2 linked regions of the Coturnix japonica genome follow. The protein of the gene in region 2 purifies or fractionates together with the protein of the main gene of each other region. This does not show direct contact. Links are inferred from orthologs where the notes say so. Each region holds a gene or a part of one and is shown on either strand. Other genes may lie near its edges.

Region 1 (7,836 bases), about 80 Mb from region 2:
ACACAGATGGAGAGCAGAAGGTTGGCTCCTTACTGCAGGTATATGGGCTCAGTCTCCTAAGTGTCCATTACTCAAAAGCACATTTCTCTCTCTGCCTGCTACCTACACAAGTCTGACCTGTCAGGTTTTAAATGGCATGTCACGATTTGGTCCCCCTGGCCTTTCTGTAGGACAGTAACAATTTTGGGCAGAAAAGCAGCTGAAACGGTCACTTTAAAAGGGGAGACCATCCACTCCAAGGGCAACACTTCCTTACTAGAGTTCTGCCTCCGTCATTTCCCCTATTAGCCCTTTTCGAGTTCCCCATTTCTATTCCTTGTTTCAGAAGACCTGGGGAAAAAAAAAATAAATAAAGGCTGTTAAAAGAGATCCTCAGGTTTAGCTCTGTATCTCCACAGATAACCACGTTATAGATTTTATCTATCTCCTTCGTGAAATGAATCGGTTTAATTCCTCCAGCTCCCTTTCCTCCCCTTTTGGCCGATCCCGCCTCAGGCCGGGCGGGGCGGGGGGAGCCCGTTGGTCGCCTCAGAGCGGGGAGGCGGAGGCTGGGCGGCCGGGCGGCCATAAAGGGAGGGAGCGGGGGGGGGAGCGAGGCGTGCGCGGGAGCGTGAGCGAGGCCGGGGAGGCGGCTGTGGCTGAGGTGAGCGGGGAGAGGCGGGACGGGATGGGAGGGTGTGATGTCTCCTGAGGTGGGATGGTTAATGGAGCTTTATGGGGAACAGCCGCTCGGAACCGTGTGTGGGTCGCTGCTCGTGGTTATCTAATTGGCTGGCTGCGATCCCTGGGAGCCTTGTGAAGGAAGCTATGTTCTTTGATCTTTCGGTTCCTGTTAAAGTTGATGCTGTGGTGTCATGGAGGTGTCTGCAGCAGCACTGACCTGGGTTCTTTAGGTGCTGTGTCCTGTTATGTGCTGTTATCCCTCACTGTGACAGAAACGAGTCCCACTTTCAACTTTTCCTGCTTGTGATTTGAGCGTTGCATCCAACTAACATAGCACACATGATACCAGACAGCAGAAATAGGTAGGGCTTCTCCTGGCTATCCTTCCAGTGGATGAGTGCCTTAAGGTGTCTGACCTTGTGATGGAAGACAGTGGTAATGAAACACAAGCGTGCAAGCTGCTAGTATACCACATGCATTAGTCACTAAGCTCCTGCTGTCATGAACTTAAATCTTACAGAGCAGGCGACACATGAGTGATTTAATGGGGAGATGCTTCATCAGCTGGCAGCGCAGGAATTAAACTCTCCCCTGAATGGAGGAGGAGAAGTAGCTGATCGTCTTTCCCAGCAGGTGCTGGCAGAGAGTGTGTACACTGTGACCCAATGCAAAGATCTTCAAGCTGAACCAAGTGTGTGTGATGGGGTGGAAAGCTTTGCTCAAGTCCTCTCTGGTTGCCTGGTGTGCTGTGTGTGTTGCCTTGGCTGCTAAGGAGCCCACAAATGGAAAGGAGGAGCTTGGACACTTGCAGCTTGAAGTCAGGGGAATCTTGTGTTCTCTAGTGATCTGACGGATTTAATGGAAGTAGTATTTTTGGGGTAAAAGTAAACTTAATGTCTCTGTGGGCAACTCCTGTCAGCTCTGATACATCTGGGATTATGCCTGAAGGATTGAGTTTAAAGAAACTTCTGTTTTATTCTGAACTAGTTATCTTAAGAATCCCGGTTTTGTTTGATGCCTGCTGAAGCTGATGTGATACAGCAACAGAGCTAATAATGCTGCAGCTTGTGCTCAGGGACAGAAATTGCATCCCTGGGGGTTTTGCTACCTTGCTGTGTGTCTGAGCTAGGATTCTTCTCCTCTCAGAGGAGGTGACAGGTCAAATGATCTGTTCAGAGGTTGAAGCTGGTAGGCAACAAGCAAGGAATAACAACAGCTACTGTTTATATCTTGCTTAAAAAGTGTTCCATACACTATCCTGATGCATGCTAGGAAAATACATGATTGTGTTCTAAACAGTTCTAGGTAGGCAAGAGTTAAGTAAGCTAAATCTGAATAGCCTGACCTTGGCAGTTGCAAATACAGCTTTCACAAGTGTTTGAGGTGGATGAACATGAAGCCTCGGTCCCCAGCTGTTATGGAGCACCTGGCCATTAGATAAAGCTGGAACACTTCAAAAGGGAAGGGTGTATTAATACAATTTGGAGTTGCATGACTGTAGAATATATGTAAGCATCCACATACTTCAAAACAAGTAACTGAAGCACAAGGGGATGAAGAGGTCAACTGTGACAAGACTCCTTCAAGTGCTCAAACTTGAACTAGTCAGTGAGGTTCTCAAGTCCTTATTGTAACGTTAACAAGTGTGCCTTAATCCCACCTGAATACATGCCAGCTCTTATGAACTTGTTTTCCCTTTGTAAATGAACAAAAGGACAGGGCAAGTATGAATATTTCCAAAAAGGTAGTTTACTTGTGAAATGTATCTGAAAAAGAAAGATTGCTTAGAGACTGAAGTGCATGTTGAAAAGCTATGTTATCTGTCTTTACAGCTGAAATTCTGTCCAGATGCTGAAGTTCTATAGGTTTTTGCAGGAGCCAGGTGGACTTCGCTCTTATTGTGTCAGAGCTATGTGCTGGGTTATTAAGAAAGGGAAAAGAAACTTCTATGAGAAGTCTTGTCTAGAACACATTAGTACTTTCAGTGGATTGGATCTCCAAGCTTTGAAACTAGTATCTGAATGTCTTTTACTGTCATGTTATTTGGAGAGAGGTGTTTGAGTTTTAGTTGTAATGCAACAAGTTCAGAGTTAACATTTGGAAGTGTTTTGTGCTTATGATTGTCACTTGCTTCAGCTGGTACTGCAGATGGTCTTGGAAACTTGGATGAAGTTTTTGCATTATTTGTTGGGGCTTTCCCTTTGGACCAAATTACTTCTATTCAATTCTTATTACTATGTCATCACTAAAGGACTCTAAACTTTGAGCCTATACCTGTGGGGCAGTTGAGAACCACTTCAGGTAGAAGGCTTGCTGTTAATCGTTAGCACGAACGATTATTTCTCTCTAGTTTATATGTGTAGACAGAAAGTGAAGCTAGGCAGTGCAAACTGAAAGTCTGACTTGTTTTTTGTTTCCTTCCCCCCTCTCCCACCCTCACTTCCTTACAGTTTCTTTGGAGAAGAAAAACCTTAACATGGCAAGCAAAGGAAGTAATACAGATTGCATGTCATGCAGTGTGCTGAACTGGGAGCAGGTCAGCCGCCTGCATGAAGTTCTTACAGAGGTGGTTCCAATTCATGGACGGGGTAACTTCCCAACGCTGAAGATAACTCTGAAGGACATAGTTCAGACCGTCCGGAGTAAGCTGAATGAAGCAGGCATTGCGGTACATGATGTCCGTCTGAATGGCTCTGCAGCTGGCCACGTCCTGGTCAAAGATAACGGTCTGGGCTGCAAAGACTTGGATCTCATTTTTCAAGTTTCTCTTCCAAGTGAGGCAGAGTTTCAGTTGGTTCGAGATGTGGTGTTGCGTTCCCTCTTGAATTTCTTACCAGAAGGAGTAAGCAAACTGAAAATCAGTCCAGTAACACTGAAGGAAGCCTACATCCAGAAGCTGGTTAAGGTGTCCACTGAGTCCGATCGTTGGAGTTTGATATCGCTTTCCAACAAACACGGCAGGAATGTGGAGCTGAAGTTTGTAGACTGCATCAGACGCCAGTTCGAGTTCAGTGTAGACTCTTTCCAAATCATACTGGATTCTCTGCTCTTTTACTATGATTGCTCAGAAAATCCCATGTCGGAGCACTTCCATCCAACTGTGATTGGGGAGAGTATGTATGGAGATTTTGAAGCAGCTTTTGATCACCTGCAGAACAAGCTGATAGCTACCAAAAATCCTGAAGAGATCCGAGGTGGTGGGCTTCTGAAATATAGCAACCTCTTAGTGCGAGACTTCCGGCCCATGGATAAAGATGAGATCAAAACATTAGAGCGCTACATGTGTTCCCGGTTCTTCATAGACTTCCCAGACATCCTGGATCAGCAGCGCAAACTAGAGACCTACCTCCAGAACCACTTCTCCAAAGATGAGAGGAGCAAATACGACTACCTCATGATTCTGCGCAGGGTGGTGAATGAGAGCACTGTGTGTCTCATGGGACATGAGCGAAGACAGACTCTCAACTTGATTTCTCTGCTGGCGCTCAAAGTGCTGGCAGAACAGAACATCATCCCTAACGCCACTACTGTTACCTGTTACTACCAGCCAGCACCGTATGTTAGTGATGTAAACTTCAGCAATTACTATCTTGCAAATCCTCCAGTGCCATATAACCAGTCCTACCCCACTTGGTTGCCTTGCAATTGATTGCTTCACTTGAGTGTTCTTCAGCAGAGGCTTCTAAAAGCTGAGTGTACATAGACAAATAATGGACATTTGTAGGTTTTCTAGTAAGTAAGACTGTGGACTAATTACTTCCTGGCTTGCAGTAGGAATATGCAACCAGGCAACCTGTGAAAAACTTCTTTGGTTCATCTCTACAAATGCCGAGAAGCCTTATTACCTCTTCACTGCGAGAAGAGAACCAGCAACCAAATATTAAAGGAATAGTTTCAGGACTAGGTACTTGTGTTGGAAGTGGCTATTAACTTGTCATCTAAGTGGAGTAATTCAGTAAACTGTGGTAGTTAATAGAGCTAAGACTGGGAAATTTATTGTGCAGAGCAGAAGCTGATTTAAAACCAAAACTTTTTGTTGACAAACCTCACTACTTTATACATCTTCAGTTCAGATTCTGGCCAGCTTCTTATTGAATTCTTGCGTAAGAGCTTAGGCTGCTTCTATTTGGCTGTGTGGAACTGGTTAGTGTATGGATAATGTCCCTCTTGTAGAGGGCCCAGTGGCTGTTTCCTGTAGTGCATGGGCATATGTGGTCCTGCCTCAAGTTGAAGGTTTCTTTGAAGCTGGTGATGGATTGATGAGCCTGTCTCTAAAAGCACGAGTTCAAGCTTATTGGTTTATCATAATAGTTTGGTCACTGTGTAACATGTGTTTCTGGGAGGTGAAATTCTTGATCTATTGTGGTCTCAAACTTTACTTGATGAGGTGTGTAACCTCTAAGCAGAGCTCTGTACAGATGCTGTATGTGGTGAAAGTTTGCCCCTAGTTTCAGAATAACCTCTGAAGGAGTATCTACTCACTTGGAGGTGCAGGGGGCTGAACTGCATGTGCTGAACTTTCTGCTTTGACACTTGTGTACTTCATAAGGATGGTTCTGTATGTAGCAGTACTAGAAACTGACTGGTAATACCTTAACTGGCAACTTTCACTCAATTGCAATAGTAAAATTCATACACTGTAAATGCTTCTGTTTTCTTTGTTTAATCAGAGAAGTAGACTAGAAAGACAAAAATTAGAGCTATTTAATATGTACTGGTGCAACGGTTAAGGATACTTAATTGTTAACTCCTATGTCTTCTTGCTGTCTCCCTGAGTGTATGAGACCAAAGTGCTGGATCAAACAGATGATTTAAGTCTAGAAAGAAAAGCAGATGGAATAAAACTACATGGTTGCTGTTAGATGTGAAGAGTAATAGCAGAGCAGCATTTACTTGGCAGTGGGAAGGACTGCCTGTTCTTAGTAGGACCAAAGGTTTCTTGTTATGTTACAGGCTCTCCTACTTTCTCGTAACTAATGCATGAAGGCCACCTTAGTGTAGCAACAAGGCACTTCTCACCTGGAATACTGACTACTTGGAAGGCTTTTCTTATAACTGATGTGATGTTGGTGTTGTCCTGAGGGTCAAAGGTAATGCAAGCTTACTGATGTAACGAGTTACTTCTGCATGCAGAGCAATACTTGGCGTATTACAGAGTATCACCAGGAGAAAGTTCTTTTGTTTAAGAACTTGTAATTGCTTTCATCCCTTAAATAGCTTCAACTGACTTTTTTGTTTTGTAAAGCTATGCCTGTTCCAAAAGTAAACCAAAACCATTGCCTAGAGGGACGAGTTTGATCTGAATATCAGCTTAGACTTGAGTCTTGTGGGATCTCATAGCTGGACTTTAGAAACTGTGTGTATCAGCTCATGCAGAAGTAGTAGTCAATACTGAAGAGGAGCCCTTATAAGTTTGATGCAAGTAATCTTTTTTCTTACTAGCCTTTGAATGCCTTGGCTGCTTAGTGTCAGGCCGGATGTGTCTACTGGGAAAAAAAGTGCTAGAATAAAGCTCTCCTGTGTTCCTTCTGAGACAGAGCTATGGGCACCTAGCTTCCCGCAATAAATATTTGTGCTCTTGGTGATGTAACTTGTTGCTGAGGCCTCCAAGGAAGCTTTGTGTAGAATGCTAGCTCTCTAAACAGCTGACTCCCTTGGTTTAAGCTTTGCAGGGCTACCGGGTCCGACATATTAAATTACTAATGCTTTTTAGCCTGGTTGTTAAGTTCTTGAGTAGTTAAACTGTAGCCTGTGGTTGCTTATTACTTACTCCATTGTCACTGAACAGAAGAAACAAAGTTACTGGGACTGCGTTCTGTGTCTCTTTGCCTTAAAATAATCCTACTTGGGCAGTTTAGACAGAGTTGAAATACAGAGTTGAATAGATTTGTCAGGGTGCTGCTTGCAGTCTACTACTTTCTGGTTTCAAATTGTTGTGGCAGCAGCTCAATCTGGTTGTATGCTAGTTGGGTTGTGATCAGTTTTACGAGGACCCTGCAGCTGGGAGTAATATGAGAATGAATGCTAAGGTGATGACCCATGGCCAAGTTCAGGGTGCCTGCTTCATTCAGTCTCCCTGAAGTGCTAAATGGCGCAAGCCTCTTCTCTGCTTGCTTCTGTATCAAGTAGAAGTTTGAGAGAGGCTGCTAAACTTCAGGCTGTTACCCCAGTGCATTCTTTCTAGGCAGTGCCATCATAGCAGAACTGCAGAAATACTGGACTGCAAGACTTGTATCAGCACATTGTTCCTGATGATTAGGCTTCTAGGAGACTAGACTAGTTTAAAATAGCAATTTTCTTCCTGTAGCTTAAACTCTGCAGGGCTAAGCCAGTCCGAAACATCTGTTTGTGAATATTCATCACCAAGTTCCCTTTAACTTACAGTTTATTGATACTACTTCCTCATTATAAGAGATTAAATCTTCTTTATTTGATAAGGATGCTACTAAAGAAACCTACCAGTGAAGTGCGTTTTAGTCATTTTCATTAGATCCCTGTGCTAACCACCATAGTTCTGAAAAGTGATAAGTTAAAGCATACCTTATGCTCCCTCAACTCAAGATGTAACTTGCTGTGCTTGTCTTCAGCTTGTTAGCTGTGACACTAAGCAGGAGATTGTGATAAATGGTTACTCAGAAGCAATCTTTTACCTTGAGTAGCCTGTCTACAGAGCAGAAGGTTTAAACCAGGTCTCAATTAGGACTTTAAGTATTTGGACTTATAGATATCCATATTTTTGGGCTGAGTTATGGGGTTGAGCATATGGTATGTTTTGTGCCTAGATATCATGGGATTCTAATAGAATAGCTGCTCATTCTTGGTAGTGAACTCTGCTTATCACTACACGAGAAGTCCAAATTACTTTAAGAGGCTTTCTCCAAACAAGTTACTTCAGTTTTAAACTGCTGGTGTGTTGATAGTGCTCGCTTAGTGAGAGGTATAAAAAACTAATGGAATTGGGTGCCGTAGTTGTTAGACGCAGGAATAAGCAATAAGCTGGTCATTGTTAGTAGCAAATGTGTGATTTGGGCACTGGGAGCCAAATGAATGGTAATACTTCTAGCCTTTGCATCTAAGTGTTGCTCAAACCATTACTGTCAGCTGTTAAATATGGTGAACTGTATTTCATATGGGCTATTTAATTCCAGTGGAACTCGCTCTGAGGTGGATTGC
Region 2 (9,391 bases):
AATACCACTTACAAGGAAGTATTTACATATGTAAACTATACTGGTTAGGTTTTGTTTTCACTTTATACTAGATGTAAATATTTGTGAAGCTCATTTCCACCTCAAGTTATTCAAGATCAAAAGGCACTAAGAACCGAGCTTCACACTTCTAAACGCAACTCACGTATAACAATCAAAGCACATTCAGAAAGAGCTGCCATACAGACAGTGAAGTTGGCACTCTTGTGCCACGTACTCTATTCACTCCCTTCAGTTACCTGAATCCCGCTGCTATTCACAGCTGTCACAGTACAAATCCTTTAGGACCTTGTCACTTTCCCATACATCCATCAGTAGGGTTGTTTTCCTGTTTGCTGGTTGTTCTGAGGTTCTTTTCCTCCTCATAAATCACAGAGTGCATCAGTTCAGTTTTGTGACCTGTCATAGCTGCAAAGCACTTTTCTTTACATTATATTACAGAAAGTCATGTACTGCTAAGGAAGGAGGACTTACTTCAGTGTTTCTAGAAAGCAGAAGAGATTTACCACACCTTAGAAAGCGCTGATCTTCTCTTTCAGTGACAGATTGTAAGAATTAAGTTTACTGGTTAAGCTCGCATTGAAAACTTGTAGATATTTCGATAGTTCTTTACGTATAAATTAAGCAGGTAGTCAAGTGGAACATTTTCCCATTGCTCTTAAATGAAGGTTTGCAACTCTTACTTTGTCCTATGTACTTTAGAACAATGTTGCAAGGAAGGTCAGAGTATACTCTGCACTCCTACCATTATGCCAAACTCCTGTTGGGATTGCGTTTGGCACACAAGGTACCAAGAGTAACAATGTTAACCACAGTTGAGTTTGCCTGCCAAAGTTGGCTTTGGAACAGCACAACCATCGGGCCCAGTATGTCTATTTGGCTCTGTTTGAGAGGCACTGTGAAGACATTGGCAATGAACGTGGCATTAAAGTTTTAGTAAAGTGTTTGGAAAGCACGAGGATATATTCCATCCCTGAAGTTCTGCAGCAAACAGAAATACATTTTACACCACAGAATCACGCAGAATCACAGAATGACCTGGGTTGGAAGGGACCTCAAGGATCATGTACTTCCAACCCCCTGCCTGGCAGGGCCACCAAACATACACATTTACTAGATCAGGTTGCCCAGGGCCCCGTCCAACATGGTCTTGAACACCTCCAAGGACGGGGCATCCACAACCTCCCTGGGCAGCCTGTTCCAGGGCCTAACCACTCTCCTAGTGAAGAATTTCCCCCTAACATCCAACCTAAATCTTCCCGCTTTTAACTTAAAACCATTTCCCCATGTCCTGCTATTGTCAGCCCTTTCGAAGAGTTTACTCCCCTCCTGGGTGTAAGTTCCCTTCAGGTATTGAAAGGAATACACCAATACACCAGCAAAGGATAACAGCACAACCTTCACTCAATATTAAGGCACTAGCTATGAATTACAGTTTGTTATTGACAGAATGGCATGTTAAATTCTATTTCCATGTTGTCAAAAAAGTATATGACAGCTCATCAGAAACATTTTCACTGGTTCCAGGCTCACAAATACATGATGGAAGCACAGCTGGAACAGGACCAGATCTTAGGGGTGGGAGGCAGACTTCAAAAACATTTGTCCAACCTGAAACTAAATGCAGATTGACTGGAACAATTAAAGACGACAGCCTGCCAGAAACATGCAGCGCTATGAAGTGTTACAGACACTTTCTAAGCATTCTTCTACCCCATCAGCCCTACAAAACACAGACCCCCTGGATGGGGATCCAAAACACTGCTGCCCATAAGCAAAAGCACAACGTGTATCGATAAACATGTTTACGATAAAGGTTAAGAGTGTTTCCATGCTGGCATCAAGCGAACACCAGCATTAAGGAAGCTCAAAGTTGAATGTATTCGGCAAAACAGAAGGAAAAAGTGCTCATCTCTGCAGCTCGGGAAACATTGGCCCCATGAGCAAAGTAAACATTATTTGTGTTTACTGTACAAAAATAGCTGTTATGTACTCATTCCAAACTATTATCACTTTCTTCATCTACCAGCGGTATCTTTTAGTTAAGCTGAAAAAACTGACAATCCAAGTCAAATCTGTTTTTACTACATCTGGTCTTACAGGAAAAGCAATGGCTCTCACAATTCACCTCGACACCATAAAGTGCAGCTAAGCAGAACCTCACTACAAACTGCCTGAAAATTTTCCTCAGCCAATAGTCTTAAAGAAATGGACGATAAAATAGAGAGGTGTTATTGACAGATAGAACCAAGAGAATCCAACTCATATTTCAGATCATAGAGATGCACCAATGAAACATGACATGTTACCTGTAGACGCTTGAGCAGAGATTGAACTAGAAATCCCTTCACAATTGGAAGCTGGAGGTCAAACAAAAGGTGCAGAGCTGCTGGATGCTGGAGGGCAGACTGGAATTCCTCAGGTTCCACAAGGCAGGGACAAAGCACAGGGATGGCTGCAGACAACAATACTGTCTAGGAAGCAGGCCTGCAGCTTCATCAAAGCTGTCTTCTCTAATACCTGGCACGCACTACTTCAGAAATTACCTGCCAGCAAGTTAAAATAGTGAGATGCATAAAAGCACTGAGAAGTTAGAACCATTTAGGGAAAAGTATTGACCATGCTGAAAAATTGTACCTTCCCTGCAGTCAGGCTTCAAGGCTTTGGCTTCCCAGTTAAGTGCTATGACAGAACGTTGCAGTAGCACGTTCAGTCAAGTAGTTAAAGTTGCAATAACAATTAGGAAGGATCTCCATTAGGTATCTCGAGCCAGAACAATCATCATCATAACACTGACGTAGATCCAAATTCAAGCTAAATTAAATGGCCACAAGGCAAAGAATAACAAACAAAAGCATCCCAAGATCCGCAGAACTCACAGCCCAAAGCAGATGAGTTATTGGTCTGATTCATAATTCAAGTTACTGCAGTTCCATTACATTATTACCAATGAAAATCAAAAGCCTTTACGTTCACAAAGCAGTGGAAACTCATAGTTTGAAAAAGGTCAAGATGCCACTAAGATGAAATTAGATAACTTCAGCATTGTGTGTAAAGACCAGAACTTCAAGTAACTCTTACACAGAGTGTGTCATACAACAGAAGAAAGCCTCAGAAGGTCTCCACCTGCTCTGAAAGCCCTGAGACACTCATCTGATTCCATTTACTGTTATCTCCTGGAGTAATTAGCCTGTGACTGCCCAAAGCAGACTGCTCCCACCCTAACCAAGTGAACACACTGCTGAGTACCAGGCTTCCTGAGGTCAGAACTGTCTCTTTCAACCCAGGTTTCAGTAGCCAAAGCCTGACAGTCCTTGTGTAAGTGATTCACAATGTAAATTCCCACACTTCCCCCGGAAAAAGGCAGCAAGAAAACCATTCGGGTGCAGTCTGCCAAAATAAGTCCCACATTCAGACCTAGAGTCAAAATAACTTCCCAAGGAGGTGGTGGAGTCACCATCCCAGTAGGTGCTTAATAAACGTGTAGATGTGGTACTGAGGGATGTGGTTAGTGGGTATGGTGGGGATGGGTTGATGGCTGGACTAAACTTGAGCGGGGTTTCTTCCTCCAACTTAAATGATTCTACAACTTGCGTGCACTCTTCACACACAGAGCAAATCGAGACCACAACATCATCTTCCCAGGCTTGATCTGCACCCTCCCACTGCCCTGTGTGTTCAGTAGGAAAACCAGTTACCACAACCCCTACCCAACCTGCAATACTGAGCTCCGCAGGTACCTCCAGCTTCCACATGCACACAGCCTACTCCCCACATCAAAGCTCATTACTTCGACACTCCCCAACTGATTGGACTTCACAATTGTTTAAAACTATGGCTAAAATGCCACCGATTGCACTTGCTGATTGTGAAGGGCTGCTGAGTTGCTGTGATTTACGCTGTTACTTGTCATGGAATATACACACATCCATGATGGCTACAGCAACGTTTCCGTATAGCTGGGCTGCACAAAACACAAAGTTACCTATTGTCATAACAACAAAACAAGCTGGAAGCTCAGACAGGCTCGCTTCTACTCCTGCTAAAACCAACGCTACCAGACGTTCAATGACAAGCTGCTGTGAGATCCGAAGCCTTCAAGGCTGATTTAAGGCACTTACACATCCAATCAAACACAGACGTAAACGGTACAAAGAGCGTTTCCCAGGAATGACTTCACGGCACCAGCTGTTCTGGAAGCAGCCTGACACTCTGACACTCCGTATATCGCCTCGGATAGATTAAACTACCAACCCGTCGGGAGGTGGACCCCTCGTTCCCACCCGCTCTACGTGCCACCGACCTTCTGCTTATTTACTTCTCGCAATAAAAATCAGCTGGAAAGTTTCGTTTTTGCTTCTCGCTGGTTTCACTTTCCAGCTGCCCGCAAGCCGCCAAAACTTTCAGTTTGGGTTCAACCCGTTGCGATACTCGGGGAAGAAGGGACAGACACGAACACTCGGGCAGCACTCGCTGAGGTAGCGGGGAGGAGGCGGCACAGCCCTCACACGGAGCAGCACCCCGACCCCATTGCGGGGCACGGCGCGGTGCCGGAGCCTCCCTCCCTTCTCCCACCGCCTGTCAGCGCCGCTCGGGCCCCTCCCAGCCGCCCCCTCCCAGCAGCGGGACCCCCCCAACACACACACACACATACCCCGCCGGAAAGTTTCCCCACTCCCTCCCTACGGACACACGGTCCGGCCGCTCTCCCCGCCCCGACTCACCGCCATGGTCCCCCGGGCTAACGGTCCGAGCTCCGCCGGCGGCGGGCAGCGGCTGCAGGGCGGGGAGCGGGGGGAGTTCCCGATGGCGCAGCTCGGGCAGGGGCGGCGCTTCGCCGGCCGTTCCCCACCCCCTGCCCGCCCCTCAGCTACCTGCCTCACCCCTCCGTTCCCCTCCCCCTTCCCTCACCTGTCACTGGCCCCCGCCGCTAGCGCTGTCTCCGCCGCCTCCTCCCCGCAGCCCCAGCGCTCCCCTCCGCTTCGCCCGGCGGAGCGCGGCAGCCATCTTTGTGGAGGGCTGGGAGGGGCCGCGAGGGGGCAGTTAGATCCAATGCGCACTGCGCCTGCGCGGACAGCTGCTCCCGGCCGGGGGGCGGGGCCTGTGGGGCAGGTTCTTCACTCACCTCTCCCGGCCTTGGGTGGGGGTCGTGGGTCTGACCCCTCCTCATTGAGGTGTTTGTGCCCATACACACCGTGTCCAGCGTGCTGCTGGTGAGAGAAAAAGGGAAATAAAGCATCTTCTCCAGCTGCTTTTGTAAGGAGGAAGTGTGTTCCTGCAACACCTGCAGTGCCCAGCTGATGTCCCGAATGCTAATTGGTGATTCTCTTTTGCTTAACGTCTGTCCTTTTTCAGCCGTTGTGGATCGAAATGATTTTCCTACAGCATTGGGCTTAATGACCTTCTGCAGCAGCGAGCTGAGCAGAATGAGCTGCTCCATAAAGCGCTTCTGTTCATTTGCCTTCAAGTTCTCAGCTATTGAGTTAATCAGTTGCTATTTCTCTTGCATATCAGCTGTGCTCAGAGCACTTTTACAGCTTAATGGCACACAGAAGATAGCCCAAGGGTGCACCAATTGAACTCTGCCATCCTGGATGCTCACTGAAGGCCCCTCTTCCAGAACTCACCATTGGAAGCAGCATCCTACGATGTGGTTTGTCAGATCTCCAAAGCTGGAGAGACTGGGGCCTGATCGATATTTGGATGAGCCACCTCGTTAGGTGTTACGGACCGCGCTGCTGGTGATTCATCCGGTGGCTGTTGTCTGTCTATGAGTCAGGGCTGAACAAATGCCACTGCGCAGTGCTTGTGGGCTCTGCTGTCCACTTGCACAGCACTGGAGAGCTTTGCCAATTGGATCTACTGGGAGATCACTTGTGTGCTGTCCAGCTGCGCAGCATATGAGAGCTCTGCCAATTGTATTTGTTGGGAGATCATTTGTTTTCCTGGTGTCAAAACCCTCCCTTGCATCCCTTGCAGGTGAAATTAAGGGATCGGTGCAACGTTTTGTGTGTGTTGGTACAGATGGTGGTGAGAGGGAAAAGCTGAGAGTGGTTTGGACTGTTCTCCAGTCCAAAGGAAATTAATTTGTTCAAGGAAAGACTGGATGTTGTGTTGAGGGACATGGTTTAGTGGGAGCTATTAGTAATAGGTGAACGGTTAGACTGGATGATCTCTTAGGTCTTTTCCAACCTTGGTGATTCTATGATTCTATGATTCCCTAGCTGAGTACTGGACCACATGGTGTGCAGGTTTGCATTGCATGACACAGTCTGCTTCCTTCTTTTTTAGGTCACAGATACTTAAATGCCTGTGTATAGAATTCCATTTTCTGCTGGAAGAACATCTAAAGTCACCCGAAAATCATTCTGAGTAATATAAGGACTAGGGAAAGCCATATATAGTGATCTCTTTATCTCTTTTCATGGACTGATGTGAATAAATGGATTTTCTAAAACAAAAGAAAATTAAATTGAGATTATTTACCAGTCTAAATTGCATGTGCAGATTTCAGCTACTTGCAGATGATTGACCAAATGCTCCTGCTTTCATCCACTGTAGAACTTCCCAGAAGAAGCCATGGAGGCGTAATTTCTTTACTGTCTTGTGTCAGATAGACATCCAAGTACTCATGAAAATCATTTTATGAACTTGAGATGGTAGCTAAACCCAGTATATGAGACAAGAGAAGACAAATCCATCAGAAGATTTGCAGTTTATCCCTTAGGTTGTATAATTATTTGTCTGGTAGTGCCTGCTTTGAGTAGCCGTCTTTTCTGCAGTCAAATTAAGATACCAGCTATAGGGAATTCTGAAGAATGGATGTGAATATTTCATGTTTGTATTAAGTTGCATTAACTCATAAGAAACAAGCAGCAATGCAGTGCTTGGGATAAGGACTGGGCAACTCATGCTAATTTCAAAATCTGGGTCACTTTAATCAAATTTCCTTTTTTTCCATCCTTGCAGGGAAAGCAGAAAGTCTCAAATTCCGAAGTTAAAAGAGTATGACTGTTGCAGGATTCACCACTTCAACATACAGCAGTTGTGAGTTGAGTTGAGTTACTTGAGTTACTGCTTTTTCTATGTCCTTTCAGCTATCCTGTATCTTCACCTGAGCTGCACGACAGTCATCATATCTGTCCAGGTCTCTTTCAAAGGTACTGCTGGCCAGCAGGAGTTATTTACTGCCTTCTGATTTGTCTGAAATGAGTAGAACTGTAAAAATCCCTCTTTAATGTCGCAATAATGTAACAAAATTAAAGTTTGATGAGGACTGTATAATGCTAGGCGTGATTCACTTCAATGGTAAAATACATGTTTATGGGGGAAAAAAGAAGGAGCCTGAGATTTAATTGATATGATCAGCAGGGTCTCCTTAACTTGTTCTTTATTTTTATCAAAATATGGATAGGCACCTTAAAAAGACACAAATCCAGGAATCTCTGCCTTCTTTACCTGCTTTTCATGACAAAAATGGTGAAGACAATCATTCTCTGATAGGATTAAACCAGCTGAATATTTAGAATTATGGTACCAAAATGAATGGGAGGATTAGATGGATAAAAACATTAATCCAGTCATAGACAACAAAATTCAGCCATTCAGATCTGGCATTACGGGAGCAGCTTTAACATAGTATCAAGGATTTGGGGTGATCTGCTGTTTGTTTTATTCAGAAGGTGGGTGGAATATGCTATTTCCCTTCCTGATTCATCTCCTTTTCTGGAAGAGATGCCACCGGTTTTAACAGGATTACTTGGAAAATAGTGCATTGCTCAACAAGAGCAAGCATGGCCGATCATTTCCTTAAGATGTTCAGGTGCAAAAACAAACCAAACTCTATGAGAAAGAATTAATTAGTGTAAAATTTTTTCAAACATTGTGCCAAGATTAAGACTTCGAAAACATTAGCTGGAGCCCTACTGAAAGAGTGGTCTAATTGTGTAGCGTTTAATTACTTAAAGGTGTATTTGCCAACTGGAAAAGCAAAATAAAGACAGGGATTGCATGCACAGAAAGAGCGACTGCACAGTTTAGATCCTGAGTTCATTTATCTCACTTTATTAAAATAGAGAAATACATATATGGCACAGAACTACTTGTTGTAATACTACTTTTTAAACTTAAGTCAAAAGTCCCATGTAAGAGCGATGAAATGTTCCAAACAATGACATTCACCTTGGGATTCCTGAAGCTGGTTCTTTTGTATCTTGTAAATCTTAGTTGTTTCTGGATGAACGTATTGAAATCAACCACTAGTTGAACTATGATTTTTTTCCGTCATGAATTGAAAGTATCATTTTATATAACAGAAAGCTTTGAATCCGTACCTAAAGCAGTGATTGTCAACACCAACAAAGTGGTATTTATTGGCTTCATAACTTTTAAAAACCGCTGATATTTTTTTTGGCTTTGTACACTGGGGTAATTATGAACTGTCTTTAGTGATCCCTTAGCAAACTAACAGTTGGCTGCTAGTAGACAAAGTTGAATAATAAAGCAGACCTGGTCATAATGGAAACATTCACAAGAAGCATATTTTGAATTTGTGCTTCTTGGAATACTTTTGTTGCCTTTCTTTTCAGGTCATGATTAAAAGTTAGGCATCGTAAGATCTATTGGTTGGAAGCAGGAACAATTCATATGCTAAATTGAAAGTGTCCGACACACTAGTCCATATTTATTTAGGGATTTTTTTCTTTCTTGAATGTACAGAATTTCATACCTGAGCTTATTTTTTTTTTCTCACAGATTTGCTGTCATGATAAACAGTTTCCATTTCGTCAGATGGACCACCAAGAGTTCAGCATGAATTGTCTGAAAGATTGGCTTTCTTTTGGTACCTGGCAATATTTAGGATGGATTGACTGCGTTTAGGACTCTTTGACCTAGTTCAGTGGCAAGGAGGTTACCTTTCCAATTTAAGCAGCTCTGCCTCTAAGTTGAGGAGTTTTGAGACACACAAGATTTCCATTATCTTGTTCTGTGTTGCAGGGTTTGGGGGTTTTGCTGTGACTCCTTTTTTCCAGCCTTTTGAAGTACCAGGCTCATGTTGTGCTTGCAGACAAAGAAGCTGAAGAAAGTTTTTGTCGACTTCTTCACATAAGGGTGCATTTTAAACTTGTTCATTGAAAGGCCTCGCAGTGCAAGTCCTTGTCTGGCAAGATAACAGCCTGAGTTCAGTGTGCTCATGGAACATTAATTAGTCTCTTCATTCAGATTTTCCTGTTTTCTTTTTCTTTTTTTTCCCCTCTTTTTCCAATAGGACTGAATATATAGCATGTCGCCAACATTCTCTGTGGTTTTCTGAAAAAATTTAACTGCTTCATGGTGGCTTGGAGGAAGCTGGTTCCTCTCATACATACATGTT

Evidence for each region.
Region 1: the proteins of FNDC3A (region 2) and TENT5C purify together in Homo sapiens (affinity purification with western blotting; 3 studies listed by BioGRID, with this or other methods). This does not show direct contact. The link is inferred for Coturnix japonica from reciprocal best matches to the Homo sapiens genes FNDC3A and TENT5C.

The regions. Positions count from the first base shown.
Region 1 is NC_029516.1:70,990,518-70,998,353, reverse strand, and holds the start of TENT5C (terminal nucleotidyltransferase 5C), read left to right. Parts: upstream 1-524; 5' UTR 525-643; intron 644-3,113; 5' UTR 3,114-3,139; coding exon 3,140-4,312; 3' UTR 4,313-7,836. UniProt on the Homo sapiens protein: Catalyzes the transfer of one adenosine molecule from an ATP to an mRNA poly(A) tail bearing a 3'-OH terminal group and enhances mRNA stability and gene expression.
Region 2 is NC_029516.1:151,229,175-151,238,565, reverse strand, and holds the start of FNDC3A (fibronectin type-III domain-containing protein 3A), read right to left. Parts: upstream 5,065-9,391; 5' UTR 4,930-5,064; intron 4,864-4,929; exon of another isoform or gene 4,743-4,863; intron 2,449-4,742; exon of another isoform or gene 2,328-2,448; intron 1-2,327. UniProt on the Homo sapiens protein: Mediates spermatid-Sertoli adhesion during spermatogenesis.